2 linked regions of the Arabidopsis thaliana genome follow. The protein of the gene in region 2 interacts with the protein of the main gene of each other region in a pairwise test. Each region holds a gene or a part of one and is shown on either strand. Other genes may lie near its edges.

The links.
Region 1: the proteins of AT5G57035 (region 2) and WAV2 interact in a protein complementation assay, tested with the Arabidopsis thaliana proteins (one large-scale study listed by BioGRID).

Annotation. Positions count from the first base shown.
Region 1 is NC_003076.8:6,941,429-6,950,543, forward strand, and holds WAV2 (alpha/beta-Hydrolases superfamily protein), read right to left. Parts: upstream 5,087-9,115; 5' UTR 4,888-5,086; coding exon 4,650-4,887; intron 4,361-4,649; coding exon 4,325-4,360; intron 4,195-4,324; coding exon 4,116-4,194; intron 4,005-4,115; coding exon 3,950-4,004; intron 3,858-3,949; coding exon 3,741-3,857; intron 3,044-3,740; coding exon 2,879-3,043; intron 2,458-2,878; coding exon 2,229-2,457; intron 2,116-2,228; coding exon 2,108-2,115; 3' UTR 1,527-2,107; downstream 1-1,526. Other genes in the region: AL5 (alfin-like 5), read right to left, coding at 9-144, 289-517, 1,086-1,118, 1,319-1,418; BRXL4 (BREVIS RADIX-like 4), read left to right, coding at 6,515-6,613, 6,705-7,144. UniProt on the Arabidopsis thaliana protein: Involved in the regulation of root growth. Involved in the suppression of the root bending in response to touch stimuli, gravity and light. Negatively regulates stimulus-induced root bending through inhibition of root tip rotation.
Region 2 is NC_003076.8:23,076,409-23,085,155, reverse strand, and holds AT5G57035 (U-box domain-containing protein kinase family protein), read right to left. Parts: upstream 4,510-8,747; 5' UTR 4,414-4,509; coding exon 4,200-4,413; intron 4,118-4,199; coding exon 3,996-4,117; intron 3,907-3,995; coding exon 3,791-3,906; intron 3,706-3,790; coding exon 3,590-3,705; intron 3,484-3,589; coding exon 3,179-3,483; intron 3,098-3,178; coding exon 2,996-3,097; intron 2,896-2,995; coding exon 2,467-2,895; intron 2,383-2,466; coding exon 1,633-2,382; intron 1,553-1,632; coding exon 1,337-1,552; 3' UTR 1,168-1,336; downstream 1-1,167. Other genes in the region: AT5G57040 (Lactoylglutathione lyase / glyoxalase I family protein), read left to right, coding at 40-90, 355-520, 654-941, 1,033-1,121; LUT2 (Lycopene beta/epsilon cyclase protein), read right to left, coding at 5,338-5,503, 5,582-5,714, 5,805-5,915, 6,007-6,103, 6,179-6,286, 6,369-6,512, 6,600-6,702, 6,771-6,881 and 3 more; NMT1 (myristoyl-CoA:protein N-myristoyltransferase), read right to left, coding at 8,401-8,747.

The sequences.
Region 1 (9,115 bases), about 16 Mb from region 2:
AGACTTACCATTTTTGAATTTGACTTGGATCTGTTGCCATTTTGATTTGCTGAAGAGGGCATTTCCTTTGTTTGCTTCTCTGCATTTCCAGTTACAACTTCATATACAGTAGGAACCTCATTTATCATACTAAACAAGCGCTTCCTGAATTTGTAAGTGTACGGGTTAGTATGGAAATGCTTCAGATATCATGATAATTAATGGTAGAGAATTGAGCAGAGAAGATATTAAACAACGAACACCAGGTTAGAAGAGAAAACACAGCAACCAAGAAAGAAAGAATGATACCTGTCAGCTCTATCGAAACCAAATCTTGAACCAAAGTAAAAAGACACAGAAAGTAACCACGCATCACTGTGGACAGCAACGAGAGAAAGCCAGTTTCTTTCCTGCATCCCATCTCTGGCAAAGTTAATGCCGAGTGCAGGTTCGGGAAGCTCAGGAGGCACTTCTTCAGCTGGTAAGTTAACTTCCCACACTTCATTTGGGAATCCATACAAGCAGAGATTCTGCTTCTCTGAAATGTCATAAAACAGTCATACAAACTTCAGTTTATCAACGCTACTTAATTAGCAGAGAAAGCAACGAAATACTCTCTGAAAACGATATTTAGCTACGTAAAATCAAGACAAGCAGCTATATTCAATAACGAAATCATGTTTATTAAATTAATATATTGATGACAAAAAATTAATATATTCCTCTTAACTAAAACAAGTTTTAGAGCCACAAGAAATTTCATAGAGACATGCAACCTCTAAATGGTTATGGTTATGTCGATCAAGGCACAAAGCATGAAGTCAAAAGCGAGATATAGAGAAAGATAACAGCACCAAATGCGAAAGAGTATATAGTTCATGGGGAGACCAAACCACCGAACTAAAATAAAAGTTGCTCAAATGTTCAACATAATCAGTCACCAGTACCAAAACACATGTAAGCAGCAGAGCAAGATCTTATACTTTTCAGTGTGAGTGTCGATTTGGACAAGCCTATGTTACCATCTCAACTTTGCATATTCAAAATCAGGAATAACTGAAACAGCTTGAGAGCATACTTAAGGCTAGAGAGAGAAAAAAGCTAACCAGGGTCGCATTGCTGGAAAAAATCTTCCACATCTGCAAAAAAAAGAAATTAATTGTTCTTAATTCGAAGAACTAAGCATCATCAACACAATCCATAACACTAGAGCACAATTGTTGAAAAAGGGTCTAAATAAAGCCACCAAACGATCGTCATGAGAAGAATTCCCACGAAAAACTCAAAACCCATAAGAAAAGTTTCAAACTTTAAAAAGCAAAGAGAAGAAAGAAGAGACCAGTGGTGAGAGCTTGGATGATGCCAGCTCGACGGCCCTTAAAATCTCGAAAGACTTCTTCGACAGTTCGAGGGCTGTAGTGCGCAGTTCCTCCTTCCATGTCCGTCTCTCCTCTCTCGGAAACGATGAAAGAACAGTGAGGTTTGCTTCTTTTTTTTTTCTAAAGCAGAATTTTTGTTCTTAAGTGATAAAGTAAGAAAACTTAATGCAGACTAAAAAGTTGCCCCGTGGACAGTGACCGACCCGGTCTAGTCACAACACTTATTTAAAAATAAAAATACATAAATAATGGACATTAATAATGTCTTCGTGCGTTTAGTTTGGTGTTATCTCATTTTCAAACATAATCAAGTTTGTCGGGAAAAAAACTACTCTACAGATTTCATAAATATTATGAATGACAGACGTAATCAACACATTCAAGATATAATCATATAACCATGTCTTTTTTCACTTTTCTCAATCATCTACAAAGCCATGATCATCCAGAGGAAATAGTTACGATCAGATGAGAAACACCAACAACAATTGGAAAAAAAATAACCCAAAAAAAAGAAGGAAAACTGAGACGAAGCAAATGCATCTGATTAGCTTACACTTGCCATCTCCACTAGCTGGTTCTGCTTACAAAAGTTCCTGTCCAATATCTCACTCTCTGAACAAGTTGTATCTGTCACTCCCAAATGCAACATACGTATACACATGCTTATAACAAACAATACCGTCGTTTCAGGTTGCAATAGGAAATAAGTGAGTCGAATCTTCCTCTAAACACAGCATCGTTGATCGTTACCTTCCTGTCATCAGATTAGAGACCAACGTCAAGCCTAGTATTCTACTTTGGGAAAAACATCCCAAGAAACATCTCTGTAAAACAAAATTGTTACTTATACTTGGTAGATCATCTTACCTGTATCTTCTTTCCTTTTCTCAGGCGCATACTTTTCGAGAAATTGCAAGTTTGTTTTCCAGTAAACTTCACCACCAGACAGCCATGTATCCATATGCATCCCACTTGGAAACTCCACAAATGTGCACTGAGGGTTACGGGCAGCCGCTTTCGCATACAGCATTTTCATGTGAAATGGAGGGACCATCTCATCTTGCAGTCCAGAGAGGAAAAGCACTGGTTGTTTGATCTGTCATTGTTGCAAGATCAGTTTATCACAGGTTGCTACAGAAAATCAAACGATGAGACATTTTTTTAACAGGGATATGTTTTTAGCAGCACATCAAGCTCCTTTCTTGTTTCCTTTCAAGTTTTACTCCATAGAACAAATCAGGGAGCAATCAATCAGCTTGCGGCATACATGAATAATTTTATAGTTCGGGTTAGCTTATCATGAATTCAACATATTCCGCAAAGATATATACACTATGTCCCGTTAAAAGGAAATGAAGGAATGCAAATGCATGAGATATATTAATATATATGCCAGTGAGGTCATTGGGGTACCATAGTGTTTTTTGCTTAAATGAGTCATTTTATGGCATATGCAAACAGTAAACGAAAAGAATCCATCTAACATCTATCTGCAAGAGTCTACATTTGCATCTTACCTCAGCAATAGCATCAATTGTTTTCCAGGGAGAACGTACAACAAAATTAAGAAGCTTCAGGCTTTTCGTACCACTTCCTCCAATAAACCACTTCAAGAACGGCAGCAAAACGCCAGCCATATCAAGAATGGATGTGAAAGTATTTTCCAGAATCAATGCAGATACCTATATAGCGACATTGAGAAATGGTAAACATACAACTATAAGGCGTGTGGATATCAAATGAAATACTGGAAGTAGAGACAACAAGAACAAAAATAATAGCTTAATCAAGGCATCTACAAATTTCATTTACCAAGAAATTTTCTGAGAAGGATAAGGTTCTTGTGCATATAATAGTAAATATCAGTGGGGGTGATAAAAGGAGGCCTATAACAAAGCTCAAACGAATACCCCTATCAACCAGGTTCTTTTATTGCCAGATGACTAAAACTTTAACACAAAAAATAATTATATTCAGATAGTACAAACCGCGTAGATTGTTACTGATGATAAGTGACTAGAATCTAAATAAAGAGGTACTCTAGAAATTTTTATACAATTGGACTCCAGGTCATCTGCCAAAGACCATGAGTTATAATAATTTGCAACAGTAACCAGAATCTCATTAATATACTGATAAGAAGCCATCCAAACCAAGCCCCTAGAGGAGAGAGGAAGGTGCCCTTAGGCGTTATAATTTATAAGGCATTTGTTAGTCTCATTCGTAACCATGTGGGACTCTCAATAATACTTCTCCCTTTAAACAGTAACATCCACAGAGCTGGCGGCTGGTACTTGGCCTATACTGTCTCTCTTCTAATAAAATATACATTTTCCCTACTCATGAAATGCTACCAATAGCAATATGTACTAATAGTACCTTATCTGGATTGTTTTTGGTAAGCACAGCTCCAACAGCTCCCCCAAGGGACCTTCCAAATACAACTATTCTAGATGTATCAATGTCAGTCCTTCCAGAAAGGTGATCCAATGCAGCCTAACAAAAAATATCAGGCAAGAAAATGGATAATGAATACATGGAGACGCAACAGAAGAGATATGTGGATAAATTTAGGGAGACAAGCAAACCTGAGCATCTTTTATGATACCTTGTTGTGAAGGATAGCCTTCACTTGCCCCATAGCTGGTTGCACGGGAAAATCAATAAGCATTGTATAAACAGATCCAAGGTTTAGACTCAAAAACAAACAATTTATATAAGAGATAGACCAGAAACCAGCAAACTGAAACTAACCCGCGATATGAAAGCATGAATACATTGCACTTCAATTTTTGTATCATGATGCGAACCATCTCCAGACGATGAGCGATGTCTGGGATTCTAAGGTCAAGGTCGTAACAAGACAAAGTATCCCAGCTAACAGACATGGAACATAAAATAGGTTCCTTAGAGCATACAAATATAAACAAACAAAAACCAAGAAATGGCTCTGGAAAGGATACTTCCAGCGTTCTCCTGGAAAAATAAAATGGTTGGACCTGCATGCCAAACATAAACTATTAGAAAGACTTCGAATTAGGCTAAAGCTACCAACCACAAGCAACTAGATTTTAGGTGACAGATAAGTTCCAAACTAAAGCTAAAATGACTTAGGGATCACAAATCTGAGAAAAGGAATCCAAAACCTAGCTAAAGACAGAGACATCAAGACCTAAAATCCCTCAAAATTCAGTAGATTCAAAAGCTTATTCGAAAATGTAAAATCAAATCTACCAGGAAAAAAAAACTGAATCGAAAGGAGACTCAATGATCAAAGAGAGTGTGGACCTCGACATTCAGGGAACATCTTGATGAACCAAGCGTGGAGACGTACACCATCGGATGATTGAAGCCAAATATCTTCGTAGATGAGATTGAGCCTAGCGGGAGTGATCGGATAAGACTTGCTTAAACCCGGAAGCACTGGGACGTACACAAGCTTCTCCTGGAAAGCCACGAGCAGCGCCACTCCGGCGACGACTATCCCTCCGAATCCGTAGAACAACGCGCTCACGTACGTCACCATTTCCTCTGGTTCTGCTAAAGGAGCAGATTCCAAATCCAAATCCGAATCCGAAACAGAAGAAGAAGCAAAAATCGAACGCACTTTTGCAACTTTCTATCTGTTTCTCTCGTGGATTTTGCTTTTCTTCTTCAGAGGGGAGAAAAAGAGCTTCTTCGTTTCTTTTTTTAAGTTTACAGGTGAGAAGGATTGAGACAGAGTTTCACTGGGCCGAAACTAAAGCCCATCTATGCGCTAAACCCAAACCGATTTTGAGTCTTCACCATAAGAAAATGTAGCTCTATTTGGTGGTCTAAATTGTTCATTTGCGAGTCCACCAACAATACTCAAATATGACATTTCCCGATGAACTCTAATCAATAGTTCGGCTAAGTTGTAAAGTTTGTACTCAACAATTATATAGATTATTCTACAGTTTCTATCTTGATTTTTATATAATAGTAACTTGATTTTTGTTTGTATCGCGAAGTTATTTGCTTAAATGAGTTAAGTAAAATCATTGTCATGCATTTTGAAATGTTGTAAGAAACTTAGCAAAAAAAAACTTAAATATATTGTAAACAAGCACAAACCATTTTGACCTCTTTAATAATATTATAATAGTTTTGGGAAAAACGAAATTTTGTGGATAAGATCTTGGTACATACAAATTTGTATATGAAATAATAAAAGTGGAGAAGAGACCAATTTATCTTAGTGACCCTAGTGTAATGTTTCAGAAAGGTTATATTGACACTCAACGATAACAAGACCATAGTGGCTGGTCGAAAAAAAAGAAAAATACTGAAGAGTTGTTTGTAAACTAAACAAGTCTTGGACCACCACCCTTTGCCAAAACATTTTAATTTTCAGTTTAGTACATTACCAAATTTACAACAACAACAACAACAACAAAAATACTTACACTATTAATATTTTCGAGTCGTTGGATCATTATTCACTTGAAATGTAATGTAGACGAAGACGTCACATACATAAATATTGTCGGACGGAACATATTGCTATCCTTAAATTAAATGTCAATGAGTTGCCATCAGAAGCGTTATGAACAACACACTACAGTACCCATTTAATGAATAATGCTAAGAACAACTTTTTATTATTGTGATCTAGCTTAGAACCACACATAATAAATTATTTCGTTTTAGGTTTCTCAAAAGTCAGAGTCAAATTTTGCATACATATCGATTAACTTCAAATCTTGCAGCACACTTGGCTACTTGAGTGTGAAGAACGACCTTTGATACCTCTGAAAGTCTAAATCCACAGGCCAAAAATCATGTATATAGTCTAACCTCTGTACAAGTTTAGCTAATCAGTAAACAAACAAAAATGATTTACCTTACCTTATGCAAGACCAAAACTTTTTACTTTTTTCACTTTCGAAATTTTAACCACCGGATTGCGTAATTACCGTAGTGAGACGCGGAACCTTTATTGGAAACCGGTAATCCCGGTTTAAAGTTTCTTAAGCAGAAATTATAAAAAAAAAGAGAGAATAAAACATAAAAAGAGCACCGAACCCAAACCAAAGTAGAAGAAACTGACACCATCTCTGTCTCTCTCTCTCCGTATCCAAAAAGAGAAAGAAAAAAAATCTCAAATCAAAGACCAAGCCAGTCACCGGAAAATGCTGACGTGTATAGCTCGTTCGAAGCGAGCAGGCGATGAATCCTCCGGTCAACCAGACGATCCAGATTCTAAAAACGCCAAATCTCTAACATCTCAGGTAAATTGAAATAAACTCACTCTTCTCCTCCGTCTCCAATTTTCGTAATTCTCTCTTCTGATTGAGGGTATTTTCGTCAATTCAATATCAGCTCAAAGATATGGCTCTGAAAGCATCAGGAGCTTACCGGCATTGTACGCCGTGTACGGCGGCACAAGGTCAGGGACAAGGACAAGGTCCGATCAAGAACAATCCGTCGTCGTCGTCGGTAAAGTCGGATTTCGAATCGGATCAACGGTTTAAAATGCTTTACGGAAGATCAAACAGTTCGATTACAGCTACGGCGGCGGTGGCGGCGACGCAACAACAACAGCCTAGGGTTTGGGGAAAGGAGATGGAAGCGAGACTAAAAGGGATTTCGAGCGGCGAAGCGACTCCGAAATCGGCGAGTGGGAGAAACCGGGTCGACCCGATTGTGTTTGTGGAGGAGAAAGAGCCTAAAGAATGGGTTGCTCAGGTTGAGCCCGGAGTTCTCATAACCTTCGTTTCTCTTCCCGGCGGTGGTAATGATCTCAAGCGGATACGTTTCAGGTACGTTACTGTGCACCTTACTTCATCCTACGGTTACGATTGTTTTGTTGACTCTGTTTTTCTTATCGTACGGTTAGGTTTAGTTTGGCTTCGTCGTTGCCTCGTTTGTTTTTAGCACGTTTGTTTTGGTCGTGATTTTGTGAGAATGTTCGGAAAATGCTTGATTCTTAGGAACACAGAACTGAATTTGATCTCTTATTTTTTTTCTTTATAAAATATGGATAGAGATTAAATTGAAATTTAGCGTAGATGAATATGGTTTTGTGGATTTCCATGTCTAGGGAATATATTGTTGAAAATAAGTGAAATACTAGAGCATACGAATCTAACAACAATCATGCCATGTCTTTTGTAGAAAATCTACTACCTAAATTTTTTAAAATAATATAGTATCTCGAATTTACAAATTGAATATTGCAAATTTCTATAGGAGGTAAAATAACAGGGCCCAACTGTAGGTTTTTCAGTTTTTGTTTTTACTTTTGATTTGATCTTGGCTCAGGTATGATTTTTTTTTCATTTTGGGTCATATGTTTATGTAGGTAAAATAAAATAAAATAGTTCAAAGTTACAATCGAGTTAAAAATTTGCCAATGAATTTTGGTGCATTTCTAAACTCAATTAAACTGAACATTCCCACGAAATTAGGACAGTAAGTGAAATGTATCTGAGGTTTTAAAAAAAAAAGAATTATTTACCCAATATTGAACTAGAAGATGGGTAATTTGTGAATTTCTGAGTGTGAAAATGGGAAAGAAAGTAGGTAAAAATAAAGAGAGAATGGGGACAGAGTTGTCGACAGTAACGCTTCACGCCTAATGAGAAGCAAAGGCCGTAAAAGGTCCAAAAAGCAAAATTGGGTGTCTTCTTTTTTAAGTGCTTTCTGGGGTCATCTCTTCTCATTCTGTCTTTTTTTTTTTTTTGCTTTTCTCAATATAAACTTATTTGACTGATAATCATTTTTTCCTCCTCTTTTTGTTTTCTTCAAACTTTGGTTAAACCTATGAATTATCAGTCATACATAGTGTATGAAATCACTCTAGAATGTGTCTGATAAGTTTGCTACTAACTTAAATCTTTATGGAGTTGTTAGATGTTTACGAATGTAACGAACCTTATTTATTTTGTTTAATAAAACATTCCAAATCATTGTTTGGTACATGTTATATTAAATCATTTTCACCAATAATTTTTAACGTTTTTCTAATAAATAAAGAATTTTGTTTTATTGATTCCTTATTCTCCGCGTCTTTGTCCTGTAATCAAATTATTGCTGTTGTTGGAGCATATGAAAATATGGTTCTTATTATTATTCCAAAAGACAAAAATATATATATATATATATATATATATATATATTTTACTCTAAAAGACAAAAAGATATACTATAAATAAAACAAAGCAAATAGCTTTAGCCTCTTTAGCACAGTTTTGTTCACGCCTATTGATAACGACAAGACAACTTCAACGGAGTTTGTCTCTTCCTGGCTTCGATTCTTTGTCTTCTTTCAGTTTTAAATCACACTTCTAGTTCTATCACTTACTGTCTGTTTTTGTCGAAACCTTCTCTTTCTTTCTTGCCCTCTACTTGTTTTCTTTTCGATCAGTTTTCGTCACTGAGGGCATAATCAGATGATTTAGATTGAGTCCTCAGTTACATGTGTGTTTTTTTGTTTCGATATTGGTACAGAAAAATATAGTATTAATTAATAGAATTGAGTTTGCTTGGAGAAATTCTCTCCCACCCACCTCCACCATTATTTTCTTGTTACTGTGTAGGCCACAATCATAGTATTTCTTAATTATTAGCTTTGACCATTGTTGTCGCTATTTCTTCGTCCCTGCTTTTTTTCTTTATTTCTACGAGTTTTTTTTTATTGATTATTACTATCAGCCTACCATCAATTTAGACCCTAACAAACAAAAAAATTATATCCAAATTCCAATTTTCAAAAGGTTGTATTTGTGTCT
Region 2 (8,747 bases):
TTGCTCCTGTGTTGAGAGCCTAATCCAAGATTCTCTTCCATGGCTTCTATTTTCAGACCTTCTTCAGCTTCACTTGATTTACGACCAAAGGTATCAAACAAATAAGCTTCTTTATTCACTCCTAGCGTTAGGTTACTCGATTTCCAGAAATTGTTGTTTAGGGTTCTTACCTTTTGGATGATCTTGAGATAGTCCTAGACGCTAATCTTGTAAATTTGGCAATTAAGGGCTTCTTTTCTTTAGTTTTCAAGTAATTGAGTTAAAAGGAGAAATTAGGATTGTGAGTATCATTCAAAATCGATTACTTTACCTTGGATTGATCATTGATGATGAATCTTTTTTGGTATTTGGAAGGTTATTTGCACGAATCTCTCTACGAAAGAGCGGTTTGAGTTTCAGAAGAAGAGTGTGAGGAAAGAAAGGATCAATGTTAGGTTTTATAGCTTGAAGGCTAAGGCACAAGGATCGTCAATTGAAGGGATTAGTGTTGTACAAGAGAAAGAGCTTAACAACAAAACCGGTAATTAACTGATAATAAGTAATTGTGTTGATTGTCTGCTGGTTAGTGGTTACAACATTTTAAGCAAATGTCACCATTTATCTATAGACACTAAGCTCGGATTACCAGTTTTGATTGTTGATTGTTATTGTAGATTATGGAGTTGTTGGGGTTCATCATGTCGGTCTGCTCTGCGAGAACCTAGAACGGTCACTCGAGTTTTACCAGAACATTTTAGGCCTTGAGATCAACGAAGCAAGGCCTCACGACAAGCTTCCATATAGAGGAGCATGGTTATGGGTAGGTTCAGAAATGATTCATCTTATGGAGCTTCCAAATCCAGATCCATTAACAGGTAGACCCGAGCACGGAGGCCGGGATCGACACGCTTGTATTGCAATCCGTGATGTTTCAAATCTGAAAGAGATCTTAGACAAAGCTGGTAGTTTATATTTTTTTATTCTTTCTTCTTAGTTTCTTTTGGCTTAAAGGATGTTTCCTTTCGTTCTGAAGAAGATTTTTTGATTTTGTAGGAATTGCATATACAATGAGTAAGTCAGGGAGGCCAGCGATATTTACTCGTGATCCAGACGCAAACGCTCTTGAGTTCACCCAAGTTTGATTTGAGTCTATTTGTAGATGAATCCTCTAAACTTTCACTTGATTATCAGTTGTAAATGCTCTTCATATAGAACTGCAAAAAGCAAACCAAATCCTTGTTGACTTATTATATAATACCACAATACATATTCACAGAGATGATACACCCGATTCAAACAAGTTCAGGGTATTTAGTCAATATACGAATTAGACTAGACTGTATATATATTAGTGTGATCAGTAGGAGCCAAGAGTAGTGGAGAGGTCTAAGCGTGAACGAGATCGCCACTCTCGTATAGCCGATCTGAGAGTGTGGTTCGGTGTAAGATCAGAATGTTTGAGCCGATGCTTAGTAACAGGAGACACATCTTGATGTTTTTGAATCCATTCTTTTATCGCTTTTCGTTCGTATGTGAATCCATCTGCTGCTATTTGTGGATCTTCCATTATTTCCTACAATCAACCAGAATCAAACATTTTAAAACCTGAGCCATCGAGAATTGTGGTTGGTGTGCATCGGTTATTCGATTTACCTTAAGAATTGGACAGTAATAGTGAGTTGGTGCTCGTGCGTTAGCTTGTTCTGTCTTGAGTCTACTATTTGCAGATTCAAGAATACGTTTGAGAGCAGGCAAGACTTGTGTGCTAAGATCTGGTCTGTCTCTGCATTTGAGCTGCGAACACCTGATTGCAATGCGAGCTAGTTCTTTCGCTTCGGCTATGGGCCAGTCTTTGACTGATCCATCTAACATATCTTCAAAACAGCCTCTCTTTACTGCATCTTCAACGCAGAAAAGAAGACCGTTGGGATGTCGAGCGGTTAAAAGCTGGAGAATTATGATTCCAAATGCGTAAAGATCTGATTTCGGTCTGATTGTGCCGGTTCGTTGGTATTCCGGGTCCATGTAGTAGAGTGTACCGGCGATAATCGAGTTTCTGTAAACCGTCACACTGTCTGGTGCTTCGTCTGACATGAGTTTTGCGAGTCCAACGTCACCGATTTTGCTGACAAAGTTTCTGTCTAAGAGAATGTTGCCTGGTTTGAGGTCACGGTGGACGATGGGCTCAGGCTTAGAGTTGTGGAGGAAAGCTAAACCACAAGCTGTTTCATAGATGATTCGGAATCTGATAAACCATGAGAGAGATGGTTTCCCTTTTTTGGGAGAGATGTGACAATCTAAGCTACCATTTTCCATGTACTCATAGACAAGGCATCCATTTTCAGGACAAGCACCAAGGAGAAGAACCACATGGGGATGACGAAGCTGGCTTAAGACTGAGATCTGCAAAGTAAAATAGTTGATTTCAGATCTCAGAGTGTTAAAGGCTGCTGTTGTTATTAGGCCATGAGACTACTAGTAATTTACCTCTTTCAAGAATTCCTCTTTCTTTTCAACAGAATCAGGTTTGAGAACTTTAAGAGCTACTGGGGTATGATCAAGACTGCATTTGTATACTTTTCCATATCCTCCTTCGCCGATTATTTTACGGGAAGAGAAATTATCTGTAGCTGCAGCTATTTCTTCTTTTGTGTACTTTCTGTATCGCCCGTCTCTCAAGAAGAGTTGCTCAATGACTTTCTGTTTCTCTATGGACTGTTTGAGAGCATCTAGCTCGGCTAATTGCCTCTCGCAGAACTCTTTGGCTAGCATTGATTTTGCTTCCTCGACTTCTTTTACAGCTTTTAGATGCTTTTCTTTCTCTTCTGCTGCTGCTTTCCTTCGCATTTCTTCTTTTTCCAGAGCAGTGATGACCCTTTCTGTTTCTTTGATACACTCAGAGGAAAGAGACTGGACCTGAGGTCACAACATGGGATTGAGTTTATGAATCCATAAGATGTAAAAACATTAGGAAAGGATTTCGAGAACAAAAAAAGTTTTCTTCTAGAACTCCAACCTGTGTTTGTTTATGAACTAGCTCTTCACAAGCTTGTTTGTACATGGAAAGAGTGGTTTGCACTTCTTTCCTTAGCTGCTCTACCTCAGCTCTTACACCTGACTGCAAAAACAGATCTTGGATCAAAATCATATGCATTTTGTGTCACAGAGAATCAAAATGGTCATATATTAAATGCTTCACCTTTGGTGTTTTTAAGTGAGGTCTAGGATCCATCTGTATTTTACTAGTGGAAACAGTACTATGCCTAAGGATAGAACGACAGTGTTCGTCATCGACCAAAACAATATCAGTTGAAGAAGACTGTGCATCAGAATACACTCGAGAGGTCGGATGACTATGCGGTAAAGAGCCAGGCCTTCCAATTCTCATCCTGCCTGAAGATGTTATAGATGAAGCAGACAACCCTGTCTTATCAGAGCGTGTGCGACTGAAAGATTCTGTATAAGCTTCAGCTCCTTCTGGTATACGGAAACTAGATGATGAATCTGTTGAAAATTTCACACAGAAACAAAAACCACAGGGGAAATCAATAAAACTTGTATTTTTTTCCTTCTTGACTTCAGATTTTAGATCAATGCAATTGAAACATACCTGCGGTAAACTGATTCGTCGATTTGGTTAAGATTCTATCTTTACAAACAACATATATCTCACATGTCTCTGGAGCTTCTCCTAGCACCGTTAATGGCATTTCTTGTCCTTTTTTCCTGTCAAAACCAATCCAAACGTCTAAGCAAGATCATACCATATACAAACACATACTAGATATCAAATCCCATTATGTAACATTACCTTGTGAGGAAATTAGAAGAGCAAGAGCCAATCACTAAACACTCAACATCAGTATCTGACATATACTTCAAAAGAGCCTTTGCAGGATCATGATGTTCCAACAACAAAGTCTCAACCTAAACATTTAACCAGTAAAATTATTCCATAAGCCTTCTCCAAAACTTCCAAAATCAGTATCATAAATTTAGCTTTCACAGAAACTCACTTTGTTGGATTTGCAGATCCTCTTAAACGGAACAAAAACTTGTTCAAATTCTTTTCTCAAATCTCGTTTATACATAGACACAACACTCTCATCCAATTCCTCTATTGGAATCTTCGATCCAGCTTTTAAATCAAACAAAAACTAGTGTTAAATTTTCATGAATCTCGAAATTGATTTAACAAAAAAATTCGAATCGAGACTTACAAGGAGATGGAATAGTAGTAACTGTAGGCATGACATGAACAAGAACTAATCTATCGATTTTAGGAAGGAAATTTTCGATTGTCCAACGAAGAGCACGACGACTAGCAGTTCCTCCTACGGCGTCACCGACGGATCCTTTAACAGCGACGGATACTGAAGAATACGACGGAGCTCCGCCGATTAATTCGAAGAATTTGTTCGTCATCACCACCATGAAAATGAAACTTGTTGCTCTTTTTCTCAGATGGATTTTGTGAGGAAATGGGTTTTGGAGAAGAAGACCCGCGTTTTTAGTTGACTTGGATAGAAAAAGTGGGTGATGTATTTATTGACTGTTGTGAAAATTGAAAGCGCCTACTTTATTAGAAAAGTCTTTTTCGAAAAAATTGTTATGTTGGGACTTATATTTTTGTGAAATTTAAGATATGGTCGTTTTATTGATAATTTTGAAGGTTTTAATTGATATAATTGTGAGAAAAATATTAGAAAGAATGTTCTATATTATTTCAAGGGGTTGACATTAATAAAGATATATAATTCATTTTGAATAAAATGTGCAAATAGCGAATTTAGAAGTGATTTTATTGACTAGTAATTGTTTTTTTAAAGGGTTAAGAAGAAGTTTCATTGGATTGATTAATTTAATTGATAATTATGTGGTGCTTGTTCTTAGATTCTGTATGTGATGCAACGAACATATACTTGTTCTCTGTTCTTGTTAATATTAGATTAATGATTAAAGACGGCACACTAACCACTTGTAGTTTCACTAATCCAAAATTAGCAGTTTCTTGTTTATAAATAATGTGTATAGATTATTGAGTAATTTGCACTTAGGAACACGAAAGTGATCATATTTAAAATAAATGGCAATCGTAAACAATATAAGCGAAATAAATTGATAAAAATTAAAAGCATGTGTTGAACATTTTTACTCTTGTTGATTTAAACATTTCTCGGTCACTAACCACAAAACAAAGACTGATTTTTTTCTTTTCGTTTCCATCTCCATTTCGATCACTCCTTAGATTCTATACATGTTTGTTTCCAACTTCCTAGTAACCCACATACCATTCTTTGATCGATTATTCAGATAAATCAACATATATATACACAAACCTAAGAGTTGATAAGTAAATCATACTTTGAGATAGGTTTTTATCATGGTTGCTCCGGTTGGATCAGAGATGAGATGATTGATGAGACCTTTTCTCAAATTGTTTGGTGAAATGACGAACATGTATAAAGCAAAGAGAACGAGATCTCCTGATGTTAATGTTGATCCTAGAAACCCTTGCCACATCCTGAGTAAGTGAAAAGAAGAATCAATTTTCTTGTTTACAGTAACATTGTTATGAATCACGAATCAGTGTCTTGCTTACCATTTTGGAAGGCGGAAGAAAGTACGGAAGAAGCTTCTAATGCCTTCGGTATCGAATTGAACTATGAGTGCAAGACCAAAGAGAAAGAATGCTCTCTGTCTTTTCCTTTCTGGTGGCCATAAAGTATCCCAAGCTGCCAAAAAATAGAAAATCACAAGTTTTAAAAGTTTCTCATTGTGTGAAAGAACAGCATAGTTAACTTTGTGGTTTATATAGAGCTCACCTTGTCTTGAAATATTACTGTTGATCTGTTTGGTAGTCTCTTCTCTTAGTATCTCTGCGATGACTGATGCATATTTTGGAGCTTCAGACAAAGATCTCACAACTGAATAGCCTGTTTAATTGGGGGAAAGCTAAGTCAGAGATGGTACAGATTCAAGATGTGAATAAAAGTACATCGGGTCAAGGCTTCTTGCTCTTACTACCTGTTGCGGGATGTACCATGCTAGCGGCAGCACCAAAGGCGAGATTCTTTTGTTCGGTGTTTGGCAAGGAACCACCAACTGGGATATAGGACCACTCCTACAGTTTTATATTAAACGAATTAAAAAAGCAAATAAGAAGTTTCTATGTTGATATAGGACCACCAATTCTTACCTCTTCGTAAGTCTTTAGAATTCGAATTCCGAGTGTATCTAATCTTAACATGAGCTTCGTTTTTAGCAAATCAAAGGGCATGACATCTTTTGAGGCCAAACATGTCTCCTGAAAGGATTTCCAGCTGATGAGCAACAGACTTATCACAATAACGATTTAACTAGAAGGAGAGAGAAACACCAAAGAGAACCTCGAAGAAGAGTCTTGACTTTGTCATAGGCATGGCGTACAGAAACGTTGGATACTCAGCTTCTAAGCTCCGAACTTTCTCGTTAGTATAATCTCTGTAATCCATGAAAACCATTTGATCTGGATCATATGGACTATTTTCCACCTGAAGATTTCAAATAGAAAAACAGTCTCAATGAACAATGATTCCTCCATATAGTTATTGCTGTGGAATATCATATTCAAATTATACCTCAACCTCCACGCCGTATGCAGTTTGCACACAGACTCTAGGTCCACCAACTTCGTATTGCAAGAGCTTTCCCGAAGCTGCTCCAGAAGCAACAGTGGCAAGCCTGCATTTGCTAGAAGTCAGAACCTTTTCGTAGTGGTAAAACCAGAATAGTACTAGCTGACTTGTTACCTGCAGGGAATGACGTTATTGTCGTCACAAGCAACAAGTCTAAGGCCATCAGAAGCTTCTGTTATGCTGTCAACTTTCGAGCTAAGGTACGAGACACCTGACTCGACACACCTAGAAGACATTAATAACAAATTATGTATTTAAAACAGTTCAAAGTCATGCAAAAATAACTAGAGAAAAAGCCTCTCAAGATATGCATAGTGGAACCATACTTTACCTCCTCAAAAGCTCCTCATGGAGCAAACGTCGACTAACTCTTCCATAAGCACGGCCAATGGTAATAGGCTTGTCATCATCCAGATACACAATAGTCTCTCTCCAAACATGCTCAATACATTTTTGCAGCCCAAGATCTTCAACAGTAACAATAAACAACATGTTAAACACAGACCATGAAGATAGTGACTAAAACAATGGATCATTGAGATTTTTACCATTGAATTCATCTTCCCAAACACCGTAATTGTTAGTAAAAGGAAGATCTGGACCAATGAGTCCAACTTTTAATCCAAGCTTAGCTGATTCTGCAGCCAAGGCTAAACCAGCAGGACCACAACCAATAACCACTAGATCCAAAGCACCATCACCAATTGATATAGGAGGCAACTACAAAAATCCACAATCAAATCCATAAATACACAACGAATAGTGGTTTGTTTTCTTCATAAACAAGGCAAGGGACATTGAAACAGACCTTATCAACAAGCTTAGACTGTTCATCCATATCTTTGTTCTGCTGCATTTGAACAAATAGAATCTCAGAACCACCAGCTTTCACAAAATCTTCTTCGTCAGCGAAATCTTCTCTCACCGCTACACAACTCTCACTACCGGAACTTCCGCCGCCGCTAGCTCTGACACTACACAAACCGAAACGAATATTCCTATAGCTGTATCTCTTAACCACTGGAAATTTCCTTCGACAACTCCATGACGGAAATGTTGAAACCGCCATTGCTGCGAAATTCCTAGCCCCAACACACTCCATTTTCCTCCTCCAAATAATTTCGAATACAGCGAGAAGACTTACACCATTGTTATATTGTTCTATCAAGGTATAGCAAGCAGAAAGAGGAATCTAATTATTTCCTTTTGTAATATTTGGAAAAAAATCTCAAAATCGAAAATTTCTCAAAATGACTTGGAAGAGCCATAAAGACGAGAGGACGATAACAAGGATAGACCACTGCTTCGATTCTGCAACGTGTAATTTTCTTATTGGGGGAACAACCCATGTAAGGTCCTTTTTGTGAAAACGCGTGTAAGAACTGGATTGGTGCGTGCGATTTAAAAGTAGCCTAATAAACGACAAGTTAGGAAACGTAGCGACCTAGTTCGGCTATAACAGGCTTTAGTACAAAAAACAACTTCTACGATAGATGGGCCGTAGCTACTTCTTGGACCTAAAAATGCAGTCCATTGAAACTCGCACACGTCTAGTGTTGACTTTACTTCTCAGGGTCAACTCTCTCAGAGAACACAAGTGAAACTAAAAGCAAAATCCAAAATTGCATTGCCAAAATAATTAAACTCAGTTTCAGTAAACCATGGGAGAAGTAGTTCAGACTGAAGAAAAAAAAAGAGAGACAAATTTCAAGTTTGTTGATACCATCAAATCAAGTTGTTGAGCTTATAAGAGAACAAGCCCGAGTTCCGCTGGCTTCAAGGCACTTTTCAAACGGTAATTGTAGAGATAGTAATGAAGTTGTCCATCTCCTGGCCCAAACTTCAGTTCTTTCAAGAAACTCTCATTGTGCATCACATCCAACGCGTTGAACACATCGAAACCCTTTTGCTTTGAGACAATTAGCGCATCATTCATCAGCTGAAGAAACGAGGTCTGTGTGGCCACATTGTAGTAAGAATACGCAGCTTTCAATGTAGTGTAGTTCGGGTTACCGAGGATGGTTGAAGGGAGAGTGTAGAAGCTGCAGAAGTCAGTGACATCGTGAGTTTCAGGGCTTTCTACTAGGTAAC